3 linked regions of the Cricetulus griseus genome follow. The protein of the gene in region 3 binds, or shares a complex with, the protein of the main gene of each other region. Links are inferred from orthologs where the notes say so. Each region holds a gene or a part of one and is shown on either strand. Other genes may lie near its edges. The genes, in order: Flnc, Flna and Fblim1.

What was found.
Region 1: the proteins of Fblim1 (region 3) and Flnc are in contact, whole or in part, in an NMR structure (PDB 2K9U), measured with the Homo sapiens proteins. The link is inferred for Cricetulus griseus from reciprocal best matches to the Homo sapiens genes FBLIM1 and FLNC. Residues at the interface, in NP_001337080.1 of Homo sapiens: Arg8, Val9, Ala10, Ser11, Ser12, Val13, Phe14, Ile15, Thr16, Leu17, Pro19; in NP_001449.3 of Homo sapiens: Thr2339, Ala2344, Gly2345, Gly2346, Leu2347, Ser2348, Ile2349, Ala2350, Val2351, Glu2352, Gly2353, Pro2354, Ser2355, Lys2356, Ile2359, Phe2361, Asp2380, Glu2382, Phe2387.
Region 2: the proteins of Fblim1 (region 3) and Flna are in contact, whole or in part, in a crystal structure (PDB 4P3W), measured with the Homo sapiens proteins. The link is inferred for Cricetulus griseus from reciprocal best matches to the Homo sapiens genes FBLIM1 and FLNA. Residues at the interface, in NP_001337080.1 of Homo sapiens: Lys7, Arg8, Val9, Ala10, Ser11, Ser12, Val13, Phe14, Ile15, Thr16, Leu17, Ala18, Pro19, Pro20; in NP_001104026.1 of Homo sapiens: Met2207, Gly2208, Thr2263, Arg2264, Gly2267, Ala2268, Gly2269, Gly2270, Leu2271, Ala2272, Ile2273, Ala2274, Val2275, Glu2276, Gly2277, Pro2278, Ser2279, Lys2280, Ala2281, Ile2283, Phe2285, Cys2293, Glu2306, Phe2311.

The regions. Positions count from the first base shown.
Region 1 is NW_023276806.1:198,357,231-198,360,808, reverse strand, and holds the end of Flnc (filamin-C), read left to right. Parts: coding exon 1-138; intron 139-368; coding exon 369-587; intron 588-1,167; coding exon 1,168-1,377; intron 1,378-1,493; coding exon 1,494-1,681; 3' UTR 1,682-2,362; downstream 2,363-3,578.
Region 2 is NC_048604.1:1,462,615-1,467,500, reverse strand, and holds the start of Flna (filamin-A), read right to left. Parts: upstream 3,474-4,886; 5' UTR 3,344-3,473; intron 393-3,343; 5' UTR 278-392; coding exon 1-277. UniProt on the Homo sapiens protein: Promotes orthogonal branching of actin filaments and links actin filaments to membrane glycoproteins. Anchors various transmembrane proteins to the actin cytoskeleton and serves as a scaffold for a wide range of cytoplasmic signaling proteins.
Region 3 is NC_048595.1:11,663,917-11,668,702, forward strand, and holds part of Fblim1 (filamin-binding LIM protein 1), read left to right. Parts: intron 1-1,284; coding exon 1,285-1,469; intron 1,470-2,313; coding exon 2,314-2,431; intron 2,432-4,786. UniProt on the Homo sapiens protein: Serves as an anchoring site for cell-ECM adhesion proteins and filamin-containing actin filaments. Is implicated in cell shape modulation (spreading) and motility.

The sequences.
Region 1 (3,578 bases), on a different chromosome or scaffold from region 3:
TCCACTCAATCGATGTCAAGTTCAACGGTGCCCACATTCCTGGAAGCCCCTTCAAAATTCGAGTTGGAGAGCAGAGCCAAGCTGGGGACCCAGGCTTGGTGTCAGCCTATGGGCCTGGGCTCGAGGGAGGCACTACTGGTGAGTGTGTAGAGCTACAGGGGGAGTGGGGTTAGATTTGGGGGAGTGGTCAGACACTCTTGGTAGTTTGGGGGCGTGGTCAGACACTCTTGGTAGTTTGGGGGCGTGGTCAGACACTCTTGGTAGGTTCGCGCTTGTTGGTTCTGACTTGCAGTGCTGCCCAAGGAACCCAGGGCCCCACTCGGGGCTGCGTTCTTTCTTGCCTTCAGCCTTGCTCCTCTGTCCTCCAGGTGTGTCATCCGAGTTCATTGTGAACACCCAGAATGCAGGCTCCGGGGCCTTGTCTGTCACCATTGATGGTCCTTCTAAAGTGCAGCTGGACTGCCGGGAGTGTCCTGAGGGCCATGTAGTCACTTACACTCCCATGGCCCCCGGTAACTACCTCATTGCCGTCAAGTATGGTGGCCCTCAGCACATTGTGGGCAGCCCCTTCAAAGCAAAGGTCACAGGTGAGTGAGCATCCTGGGTGGAGAAGGTTCATACAGCCCAACCCAGCCCTGCTGGCTCTCATGGCCTTTCACATTTGATTGTGGTCTGCCCTCAGTTGTGGTCAAGTAACCATGATGGAGGTGGGCCTGACAAGTAACCCTGATGGAGGAGGCGGGCCTGACAAGGCAGCATCCCATTCTTTAGAGTTGTGCATCATGTCTTTAAAAATACAACTCTCTCTTTTTCAATGCTGGGGTTTGAAACCAGAGCCCCACCCATACTAGGCAAGTGCTCTACTACTGAGCTAGAGCTCTAGTTTGTTCTGTTTTAAAGCCACACTCTTGCTGACTCCCCAGAGGAGGTCTGGGAGGGTGAGGGATGGAGCCAGAAGTGGCTCAGGCCCAGGGATAAGCGGGGATTGGTGCATTGGGAGCTGCTTGTTTGGAATAGGTTCCATTCTTCAAAAGCTGCAGCTGAGGACAGGAGGGGGCCTGGTGCGTTCCATGTCACCCAAGGCCCATCCCAGAAGATTTTCAATGTCCTAGAAAAGGACAGGAAGTCCTTCTGACTGGGCCCTTGGCCACCTGCTCTGCTCTTCAGGTCCCCGGTTGTCTGGAGGCCACAGCCTTCATGAAACATCTACAGTTCTGGTGGAGACCGTGACCAAGTCCTCCTCAAGCCGTGGCGCCAGCTACAGTTCCATCCCCAAGTTCTCCTCAGATGCCAGCAAGGTGGTGACAAGGGGGCCTGGTCTGTCCCAGGCCTTTGTAGGTCAGAAGAACTCATTCACTGTGGACTGCAGCAAAGCAGGTATGTCCCAGCTTATCAGGGGGAGAAGGGGAGGGAGCAGGACGCTGTCCAGGGAGTAGGGGTGTGGGCTTCTTGTGGCCCTGGTGTGAGCCACTCCTCTCTGCCTCCCTCTCAAGGCACCAACATGATGATGGTGGGTGTGCACGGGCCCAAGACACCCTGTGAAGAGGTCTATGTGAAGCACATGGGAAACCGGGTATACAACGTCACCTACACTGTCAAGGAAAAAGGAGACTACATCCTCATTGTCAAATGGGGTGACGAAAGTGTCCCCGGAAGCCCCTTCAAGGTCAATGTGCCCTGAATCCCAGAAGTGCCTCCCCCAGCCCAGGGCCCCCACTTCCTGCCAAACTCACACCCACACAAATGTGCCATATCCCTATGCACACTCACAGAATCAGACACGAAAACACCTGCCTTAGGTGTGAAGTGAGTGGCACAACCTCCCACCCCACCGTGCACTTGAGGGGTGGAGGGCCTTTTATCTGTCTGGGATCAGTGTCCCTCAGATGTGACCTGAGGGCAGACTGGAGTCAGACTCAGGGGCAGAGACTGTGATATAGGGGGTTAGACAGGGGTTGGGGGGGGGTCTGTGGAAGCCCCGAGGATCATAGTGGGGCTGAAGCCATTGGGCAAGCACTGAGCTGGTTATCTGTGTGTGGGAGAAGTCACCCTCACAAACTGTCGAGCCTGAGGACTCTATTGGCAGCTCTGGTAGCCATAACCCTAGAGCAAGGGATTTGGAGAATAATCAGAAGGAAATACAGCCAGAACAAGCAGCGCCTGGCATGTGGACTGGCCCCGAGTGACGTGCTCTGCCCAAGCCAGGCTTCCTGGGGGACTGATTTCTCTTACTATATATTTTTTTTTTATGGTTGCACAGCTCTGCCCTATTGAGGGTCTTTTTTTACACATTGTGGGGCCCAGCTTTCTGGGAGACTTTTGCACATGTGGAAAACACCAAATAAAGTGTAGCTGTTGCAGAGGCTTGGCTGTTCTTTATGAGTGTGTGCGCTTGTCCACTGTTGCCTCCTGACCCAGAGTAGAGGACCACACAGAGGTGATTTGGCTGTTACCCAGAGACCTGACCCTGAGGGCTGAGAGCAAGAGCCTGGGAAAGATAGGAACTATGGTCTGAAATGTTGGCTGAAAGAGGACCTGATGGAGAATTAGACTCCCACTAGCTGGAAGGCTAGTAGATGGCAGATGAGAGGGAACGCTATTAAAGGTGACTGGAAGGCCACTTAACATTAAGCCCACCTTGAAGGATGTTCGTCACATTAGGTTCTTAGAACTGTGATCACAAGGCCAGGAGTGGTGGCCCACACCTTTAATCCCAGCATAAAGGCAAAGATGGCTCTTTCTGTGTTTCAGGCCAGATACATAGTTTCAAGACAGCCAGAGCTACATAGAGAGACCCTGTCTCAAACAAAACAAAGAACTGTGACCACTGCCTCAAGCAGTGATGCTCTTTATCCAGCAGAAACCAAATGAGAATCCCGAGCCTTGCTCCAGACACTAGGTCAGACCTGGAACAACTATACCCTCCCCTCAAGTCTTGACCTAGCTCAGGTCTCCTCTTGGACTCCATAGCAGCTTCTGAACTAATCCCTTGGTCCTTGACCTGCCCTCCATGTTCCATGCTGCTAGAATGGATCCCATTAAAGGCCTCATGTCCCTCTGGGTTAGAGCCAGAGCCCTTGTGGCTCTGGTGCCTTTCCAGGAGATGGTCCTCTCCACAAACCCCTGAGTTCAGACCAATCCCCCCACACGTGGTTGGGCAGGATATCCAATCTTCATTTATACTCTGCACCTCACCCTGCTCTGTGGTTTCCTGGGTACCTATGCTGCAGCTCTGGCCTCTGTCTGGAACACTTTTGCCTTCCCACACTCATCTTTCTGGCCTCTTCTGGCCTCTCCTGAGTCACTACTACCAATTTCCACACATCCGTGGGGCACATGTCTGCCTAAGATTATTACCTGACCAGTGACCAGATACCCATGGTCTCCACAACCAGTCTAAGCTCCTGACCCTGAGAGTTCTAATACAGGCGAGAATGCTCTGTGAACACGTTGCAAAGCAGGGCAAAGCTCACTTCACTAGATGGATCCCATAACAACAGAGCATCCCCAGGCACTCCACAGGGATGCCACCGAGACCCAAGACAATGTGCCCCTGGCCCCCAAACCTGGCTTCATCC
Region 2 (4,886 bases), on a different chromosome or scaffold from region 3:
GTTTGCGGTGCATCTTCTTCTGGCTGAGTACCTCAAGCAGCGCAATGAGCCGCAACCCATCGCTTAGGTCCGTCTGCAGATTGGCGATGCGCTTGCTCACGCACTTAAGGTGCTCATTGCACCAGCGGGTGAATGTATTCTGCTGGATCTTCTTCCATGGTGCGTCCTCTGCTAGGTCTTTTTCGGTAGCCGGCATCTCGGCGTCCCGCGTATCGGAACCGCCTCCCTGAGCCGCGCCCGCCGCGCTCTGACCAGAGCGGGAATGAGAACTACTCATTTTGAGGCGCGAGGAGCAGAGGGGCGGTGCTGCAGCCTCAGCGAGGGGACGGCCCTTTAATTAAAGCCGAAGGCACTTCCGCGAACCAGAGAGGAGGCACAGAACAGAGGTTGCGCTGGGGGAAAGAGCGAGCCCTTTAAATGAGAGCAAAGGGTGGAGCCAGAGGCAAGTTTTCCTTGGGGCGGAGCCTCCGGGTGGGGCTTCTGGGACATGCCCGCCCCACCTCGCCCCGCCCGTTGGAATGCCCCACAAAGCACCCCTCCCCTGCTCCACCCAAGGCGACCAAGTTCTGCTTCAGGGAGGGTCATTGAGCCCCAAAGAGCACGAGGAGGTCCGGCAACATCTGCTAACAGTACAAGAAACGGACGCTAGAGCTGGGAAAGGCTGAGCAATTCTGGCACACACCAATTCTGGCACAGGATTGCTCAATTCCAGCTGGCACGCCCTTACAAGGGACTCTCTTTCCTCAAGGTCCCTGCAGGGGATGGAGCGAATAAGGTCCCTGAATCACTTGAACTCTGCCCCAATCCTGCACCCTCCTCCTCTATCTTCATTTCCCTCATCTTCCAGAGCTGAGGGTCCTCAGGGGCAGTCTGTTCCACAGCAATGCAAAGAGTCCAATCCTGAGAGCGAATCCTTTCAGACAGCCTGGTACTGCTGGGAACTCTTTGTGCACACTAGTGCCAAGAAACAGCTGCGACTCAGGGCTCTCATCACCTAAGTAGCCACCCGCAGACCCCTGGCCCGCCCCACCCATCTTCGCTGGTCTTCTCAGTCTCTGTGGCCCTGCCTGCCCCCTAGCTCCATCTGGGAGGAAATGGGGCAAGCAACTGGGCCAGGGAGGCTGCCAGCACTCCAGGACCAAGAAGCCTTCCAAAGGCCCCGAGACATGCCAGTGGTCATAATCAGAAGACACCCGCCTTGTGATGCGTGTAGACGGGTACACTTTGTGCCTGTCTAACTCACATTTCCATCCACCTGGGGCCCTGAAGAGTTCTGCAGTAGAGTTCTCGTCTGGCACAGTATCCCCAAGGTTTGGTGTGACCCTAGAGGTGTGGAGAGGCTCAGGGATAGGGTCCCAGATTACTGAAAAACAATCAGCAGGCACCAAGGCTTGCTGAGGAGCCTAGGTTGTGTTCCCTGAGTGGGTATGAAGCTATTCACTTAAAGTTCATTTTATGATAGATAATTCTGGGGATAATGATGAGGATGCTGTACTGAGGCAGAGGTGAGCAAAGGCACAGAGGCAAGAAACTGTAGGAGACACTCACTACCACCCTCCAGTTAAGGGAATTCGCTTACCTTTCCCATGATAGACTCCTTCCATCTACATTCTCTGTACTTCAAGCCTCTCCAGAATGTTCCCTTCTGTGTTTTTCCAGAAAGGCAGGCCTTTATCACTACTTCTCAAATTGTAGCAATGATTTATCTTCTGAAAGACTGGTGGTTGAAGGAGGCCTTGGGCTGGCCAACATGGCATGCCCAAATATGGTTGGCTCTCCTATTGCTTGGGGTGTCTGCATTGCCTGTGGTGGGGCTATGGTAAGGTTATATTCACAATGGGCACCACCTCTGCCTCAGCATGTTCATCTTGGTACTCTCTATAATCTCACCCGTCAAATAACATTTTCAGTATGGAACTCCCCTATCCTACCTCCAGTCACCTGCATATCCTCTCTTTTGTTTTCATATATACCTGCATCAAGTAAGCCAAGGGGAGAGTTGAGGGACAGGATGGCAGAACTGAGAGGGGGTAACCCAAATGGAAAATTTAAGGGCTGTCATTCAAGACATAATTAGAGTTATCTTTCTGATTACCCTGACCTACTGGAGAGTAAATCCCCATGTATGGAATTGAATCAATAATGGATTTTCCACTGTGTGCCATTTGTCTGGATCACCTGAGTTCACTAATTGGCAGGAAACAAGGAAGACGGAATCATAGTAATGGATCACACAGAAGTTGGGAGTCCCAGCTTCCAGCCCTATGATTTGGCTATTTCGGGGGTAGGGGTGGGGGAGGGGGGAGAGTTCTTGGCCTTAGAGTGGACACAGTGCCACCACCAGATGTCGCTCCATCTCAAAGATCCAGGGGCAGCTCCAGGAAGCCAAAATCCAGCTCTTTCATATTTTCCCTTATTTGGAGTAGATTCTTCGATGTTAGGCACACCCCGCCCACCTCTCCCACCCCCACCATCAGACCCTAGGCCAGGCCCTCCCATAGGGAACTATAGACCCAAGCCCACCAGCTATACTAGGACCCTGAAGAGCTTTTCTAGACTTGTGTAGCCAGGGGGCGCCAGGAGGGAAGGAAGCAGAAAATCCCTGAAGTAAAACCAGTGCCTGTAAGGCAAATTCAGGTGTGACAAGATAGAGAATTGATTTCCTGAACTTTCCACCTTGGCCAGACTCCTTGGAGCTGCAAGAGACTGTGTGTGGGTTTCACCCACTTTTTCTTTCCTGGGATCTGGGAACCTTGGTGCTTATGTTCTGGCTGGCAATGACCGTCATACTCAGAACCAACCTGAGACAGGACCCAAGATCCAGGCTGGAAATCTGTCTCGCTATACCCCTACCACAGCCCCGAAATCAGCTCCCTATGTCCAAACTAGCAGGGGACTCATCATCTCATATGTATTCATATGAGGGTGGACTCATATCCACCCTTGCCATTGGCTGAAAAGTGTCCTTCTAAGTTGCCACTCACCCTTATCCCAATCAAGATACTAGTCTCAAAAGACCTCCCTCCCACCCCCAGAGAGTCACACAAAGACCAATTAATGGGTACCCACGCCTGTACCCATCTCCTGCCAAACACTCAGATACCAGCCCCTCTTTCAGGGACCCCCCCCCCATGACCTCGAGCTCACAGATTCCTGAGCACAAACATAAGTTTGTGGTAAACTATGCAAGTCTGGACACTAACACGATGCCTCGGACCTGAGTCCACACCCAAACTGCCTGGCCTCGGCCTCTCTGCTTGCTTTCCAAACCTTTCCCAGCTCCCGAGCGTCGCACCCACTATCTGACTACTATCCGGTGTGGAGCTAATTACAGAGCCCTCACCTGCTGTCCCTCCAACCGCGGGGTGGCGCCCAGCTCTCTGCGCTCGAGCCAGAGGCCTCAGAACTCCCCTGGCGTCCGCTGCGCGCCGCGCGCCTCCACGCGAATGAGCCGCTGCTGCCCGCCTTCTTGTTGGCTGCATCCCCGCCCCACGTCCGCCCCGCGCGGGGCCCGGCAGAGCCCGTCCCGGCAAGAAAGCCTTAATTGGTAAAATCGCCCTGGAGCCGGGGGCGGGGAGGGGATGCGGGGGCGCGCCACGAGCTCAAGTGCCCTGGCTGACAGGCGACGCCATCCCTCAGAATGAGCTCACTGCTCCGTGAGGGCCGCCAGGCTTCCGGGGGGGGGGGGGGTCTGCAAAACCTGTGTTTAGGCCCAACCTTTAATAGGCTAGATGAGTACAAGGGAGCCAAATGCTTACTGGCTGGAAAGAAGGCCCCGCTCCAAAGCCACCTATACAGGGGAATTGCCCACAGTCACAGCCTTCTGCCTCTGCCCAAGCCTGGTTTGGCCACACCGGTCAGGTCTTGTTCCATGGGAAGAGATGAAACAGGTAATTGCAGTGAGCACCAACCGTTCGTTCCTAAGGCCCCAATGGGTCCCTGAGCACTGTAATGAACAAGCCCTTGTAGCTAGCTATCATTGATTTGGTTCCTGCTAGGTGCAGCTGTTGGCTGTGAGCAAACAACAAAAATACATTGAATTCTCAAAGCAATCAGGTGAAGTCTTAAAGCCTGGGGGTGTGCAGTGTGGTACAAAGTGCCAAATATCTGTGAAGTTGGTAGGCACAGCCATTACCTAATATTGTCAAGCTCTCTCTTCCTGTTCTATGTGCCCATTTCCTGGTAGTTTCAGATTCAACTCAAATGTCATTTCCTACAGAAAGGACACATAAAGCAATGCCATTTTTAACATTTTGTTATTCATTTTACCTGCAACCCCAATATGAGCTACATTTGCATTATGCCAGTGTGCACATAACATGAAATTGAAATAGATAATTGCAAATTAGATTTTCCTTTTCTGATGTGTGTGTGTGTGTGTGTGTGTGTGTGTGTGTGTGTGTGTGTGTAGACTAGGACTCACTCTGCAGCTCAGGCTGATCTGGAAATCACTATGTAGCACCCAGACTGGGCTTTGAAGTGGCAATCCCCCTCCCAATTTCTGTTTCATAAATGTTGGAATAACAGGCCTATTTAATTTGTTTTCCTACTCAATATTATCAAAAAGAGAAGGTGGCACATGCTATATAGTAAGATAAAAGGGAGAAAAGAAAGAATATGAAAGAGCAGTGAGGGGGAGTTTGATCACATCTCCAGAGTCAATTTAGTAATCTATAGTGTAACTTGAAGAGCAAAGTGCTGGGGTCCCCTCCAGGCACTATGCATCCAGTGCTACCTTTGTTGGCTCCACTGGCAATGACATTTCACATTCTGGCCTCCCAATAAGATCAAGATCCCTCACTGTTCTGTCTAGCAGGAGACCTCTGCTAGGGAAGCCAATGAATTATCATAAATTGCTAAATTAGTGGCTTGATTTCAAGTTTGTG
Region 3 (4,786 bases):
TGATTGTAACATATATGCAGAGGGCCTAGGTCAGTCCGCAGACTCCCTGGTTGTCGGTTCAGTTTCTGTGAGCCCCTGCAAGGCCAGGTTAGTTGGTTCTGTAGGCTTTCTTGTGGCATGTGTTCTTAATATGTAGAGCAAGCTGGCCTGGGACTCACAGAGATCCACCTGCCTCTGCCTCCCATGCCCTGGGGATTAAAGACCTGTGTCACTGTGCCAACCTCACTGGGCCACCATTGACAGTGCTTGTCCTGTACCTCACAGTTCCTTCCTGAGACCCCTCTTACCCTGGGTCCACCCTTACCTTGTCACCTTCATGAAGGGAGCTGGCACCCTACCGGCTGCAGTCTCACGGTGGTGATGGTGGTTCGTGGAGAGGGCTATGGCAGTGGTGGCCAAGCCTGGCCCTCCTCTTATCCCCCACACAAGCCCATGCCCAGCAATCAGTCTTTAGTATCCAAGGCCCTAACTTTCCCCCTCCAGCCTCCCACACTCAGCTCACTGAGGGGAACCCAGGCAATCTGTGTTAGTAGTGGGATGGTCCCATGTAATGACTCCAGGCTCTATGTGTGCCGTCTCATGGAGATGGAGCTGGGTTAGTATATAGTGCTTGCTTAGCTTATGCACACACACACACACACACACACACACACACACACACACACACACACACACACACACACACACACACACACACACACACACACACAGAGAAAGGAACCTTTGTGCGAGTAGGAAGAGCCCTGCCTCTCCAGATCTAGTTTCAACTGGTCATCAAGGTTTAATCAGTTCTTCCTTTCCGGATACTTCTGTCTCCTGCACCCAAATGCTGGGGTTTTAGGCAAGGGCCATGTAGCTCAAGTGGACTTTGGCCTCAGCTTCTAAGTGTAGTACCTCCATGCCGAGCTTTCTTCTTTTTTCCTTTATCCCCCACCCCCACCCCAATGCAAACAGTGTTAGTCTGCATAGCCCTGGCTGTCCTGGAACTCACTCTGTAGACCAGGCTGGCCTCGAGCTCATGGATCCGCCTGCCTCTACCTCCCAGTGCTGGGATTAAAGGCGTGCACCACCACCTGGCATTGCTCACTTTCCGAAGGAACAATTTAAGACTCAAAGAGTTGTCACTCCTGCCTAACAACCCACAGCAAGCCAGTGGCAGCTGTCCAGAGTGGACTGAGGTCTGGAGCCAGACCCGAGCCTTTACACACTGCTGCTTGGCCTGCTGGGTGAATAGACCTGTGACCTGTGGGGCATCTGAGCGAGCCATCTCTTCCCCCTCTGTAGGGTGCTGTCCCCCACCTCCTTCCCTGAGTGATGAGGATCTAGACCTCCTACCACCTCCTCCACCGCCCCCTTCGGCCTACCTGGCTCTCCCAGAAGAGGAGCCTCCCGCCCTGACGGGGTCATCACTCATTTCTGACTTGGAGCAACTACACCTGCCCCTACCCCCACCTCCACCTCTGCCACAGGTACTGACAGTGTCCCCAAACCCCCTGGATGGGTGGGGGACCTGGGCCTTTCCAGTATTACCAAAGGGGGCATGGTTTGGTCCCTTATGCTTGAAGGTTATTAGTCTTTAAGCCTCTTCCAAGCCCCAAAGCTGGTAGAACTGTTGAGGATTTTCAAGGTCCCTGGAGAGACATGTCCCTCGTCCCCTTTGTTTCTTAGTTACCCACTCTGCTCCAAGACATGTACTGGTTCCGACCCAAATCTCCACACTGCATAAGAAGACAATTAATCGTCTGGCCTTCATAGAGAGGGTTGTTAACCTGAGTGGTGTCCTGGGTCACGGTCTATGTCACCTCCAGCACAGTGTCAGTGGGCGGGACATGTCATCCCCAGGACATTCTCAGAAACAGGAGTCAAACTGGGCCTGATAGTTGCAGGACCATAATCCCAGATACAGACAAGGCCAAGGCAGGTTGACCACAAGGCCTAGCCTAGGCTACAAAGTGAATGGAAAGCAAGCCTGGGCAACTTAGTGAGACCCTGTTTCAAACTAGTAGGTAGAAAAAAGGTTGGGATATAGTTAGCTCAGTGGTAGAGTGTTTACCTAGCAAGCATGAGAGAGTCACTTTGATGGAGGGAGCCCCAGGTAGGGAGCAGGGAGGTCCTTGGCTCTTGCTGCCATGGTAACCATCCTGCTAAGCTATAGAGGCAGGACACTTGCTTCTCCAGACTCAGTTTCCGCATCTGTACAATGGGACTAATTGTACTCGGAGCCACCTAGACAAAGAGCCAAGATGGGAGAGTCTGGTGGGGTCCCCACAAGCTGATCTCTCTCCTTTCTCCTTGATCTATGCCCCTCCCCAGGCTCCACCGAAGGGATCTTCTGTCCGGCCTCTGACCAGTCACCTCAAACCCACAGAAGAGGAGCTACCCCCTCCTCCAGAAGAGCCTGTCACCTTTCCAGAGAAAGAGGCATCCACAGGTACAGCCACAGGCCTGATTTCTGATCCTCCTGGGGCCAGAATGGGCTTCTCATAGGAAGTGTGGGTGTAGGGCTCCCCCTTCTCACATGACAGGGATGTCTATACAGTGTGCAACCACTGAATGTCCATTGCTGCCTTGTGCTTGCTTCAGGTTTGTTGTTATTGAGATAGGGTCTCATGTAGTCCAGGCTAGCCTTGAATCCCATATATAGCCAAGGATGACCTTCTAGTGCTCTACCTGTGTCACCTTGTGAGTACTGGGGCTGTAGTTTGCCACTGTGCCTGGTTTATATGGCACTGCAGACAGAAGCCAATGCTTCCTCCTTGAAAAGCACATTCTCCTACCGCCCAGCTACAGCCTTACCTTTGTGTGTTTGTATTGAGACAATCTGGCCTTGGGCCTGAGAGCCTCTTGCCTTAGCCTCCTCAGTGTCAAGATTACAGGATAGCTGGCACTAGCTGGCTTGGAACTTACTATGTATGAAGTCAGGCAGGCTTCAAAGTTGTTGCAATCCTCCTGCCTCAGCCTCAATGCTGGTGAGCTACTATGCCCACCTTTCTTTTTTTAATTCTTTTTTGTTGTTGTTGTGGGGGATGGGTAGCAAGACAACTTGTCACCAAGAGAGATGACTTTGTTTCTGTCCCTGGGGCCCACGTGGTAAAACAGACTCTCAGAGGTTGTTCCCTGATCTCCACGCAAGGTGGACATACAATCAATCAATCAATCAATCAATAAACAATGAAGGTTTTGTAGTTATTTTTCCATTTGTTTATTCATGTCTGTATGTGTGACGTAGGAGGGTTAGAAGTTTACTGTCGGGGCTGGAGAGAGGGCTCTGTGGTTAAGAGCACTGACTGCTCTTCTAAATGACCAGGGTTCGGTTCCCAGCACCCACATGGCAGCTCATGACTTTAACTCCAGTTCCAGGGGATCCTGTGCCCTCTTCTGGCACCAGACATGCATGTCATGTACCAATATACATGCAGGCAAATACCTAATACATATAAAATAATAAAAAAAAGTATTTTTAAATCCAGGCGTTGGTGGCACATGCCTTTAATCCCAGTACTCGGGAGGCAGAGGCAGGTGGATCTCTGTGAGTTCGAGGCCAGCATGGTCTCCAGAGTAAGTTCCAGGACAGCTTCCAAAGCTGCAGAGAAACCCTGTCTCAGAAAAAAAAAAAAAAAAAATATATATATATATATATATATATATATATATATATATATAATCAAGAAGTTTAAAGTCATCCTCAGCTACATAGTAAATTGGGGGCTACCCTGAGCTACAGGAGACTTTGTCTGAAAAACAGCCAACCAGGCATGGTGATACACACCTTTAATCCCAGCATTTATGATGCAAAGACAGGAGGATATCTGAGTTTGAGGCCAGCCTGGTCTATACTGCAAGTTCCATAAATTCCATGCCAGCTAGGGGTACACAGTGATACCATGCTTTTCCATGCTTTCCCCACCCCCCAAACACACACACCAGTGACCAGTGTCTTTTCTTTTCTTTTCTTTCTTTTTTTTTTTTTTTTTTTTTTTTTTTGAGACAGGGTTTCCCTGTGGCTTTGGAGGCTGTCCTGGAATTAGGAACTAGCTCTTTTAGGCCAGGCTGGTCTCAAACTCACAGAGATCCACCTGCCTCTGCCTCCCGAGTGCTGGGACTAAAGGCATGCACCACCAGCTGCCTGGCCACACACACCAGTTTCTAATTTTGTCCTTTGAGCTTTGGGACCAGGGATCCTGTCTGTAGCAGCCACAGGGCCGTTCTCATTGTTGGCTTCCCCAGTGAGTCTCTGAGTGGGTTTCCTATCTCCAGGTGCAGCAGCTCTTTGACCTTTTTTTAAGGCTGTGTGGCAGTCCCCAGTAGGAACATAGGTGTGGTGGGTTACACAGCCTCCTCCTGATGGATTTGTAGGTGGTTTCTTGCCGTAACTGCATGGAGCTGATTCACCTAGCTGTGGGGTTTTCTCGGGTAAATTCCTAGAAGAGGAAGTACCCTAAAAAAAAAAAAGGCTGCTGTTTTTGATTTTGTATTTTTGTCAAATCACCTTCCTTACTCATCCCAGCCTACGTGCTCCCACCAGCAGGGCTGAGTTGTTTCTAGAAGCCTCTACAGCACTCTGTGCCTTGTGTAATTGAGCTGTGACCTGCTTCCTTAGGTCCTGCCCCAGGCACTGAAGACACCGTTGAGTCTAATGCAGTATCCTTTTTCCTGGGTCACAGAGCAAGACACAAGGGCAACTGTTTTCCTAAGTGTGTCATTTATTTTTCGACTTACGGTAGATTTTGTCACACACATACACAAAAAAGGGGGTTTTTGTTTGTTTTGTTTTTTTAAGGTACAG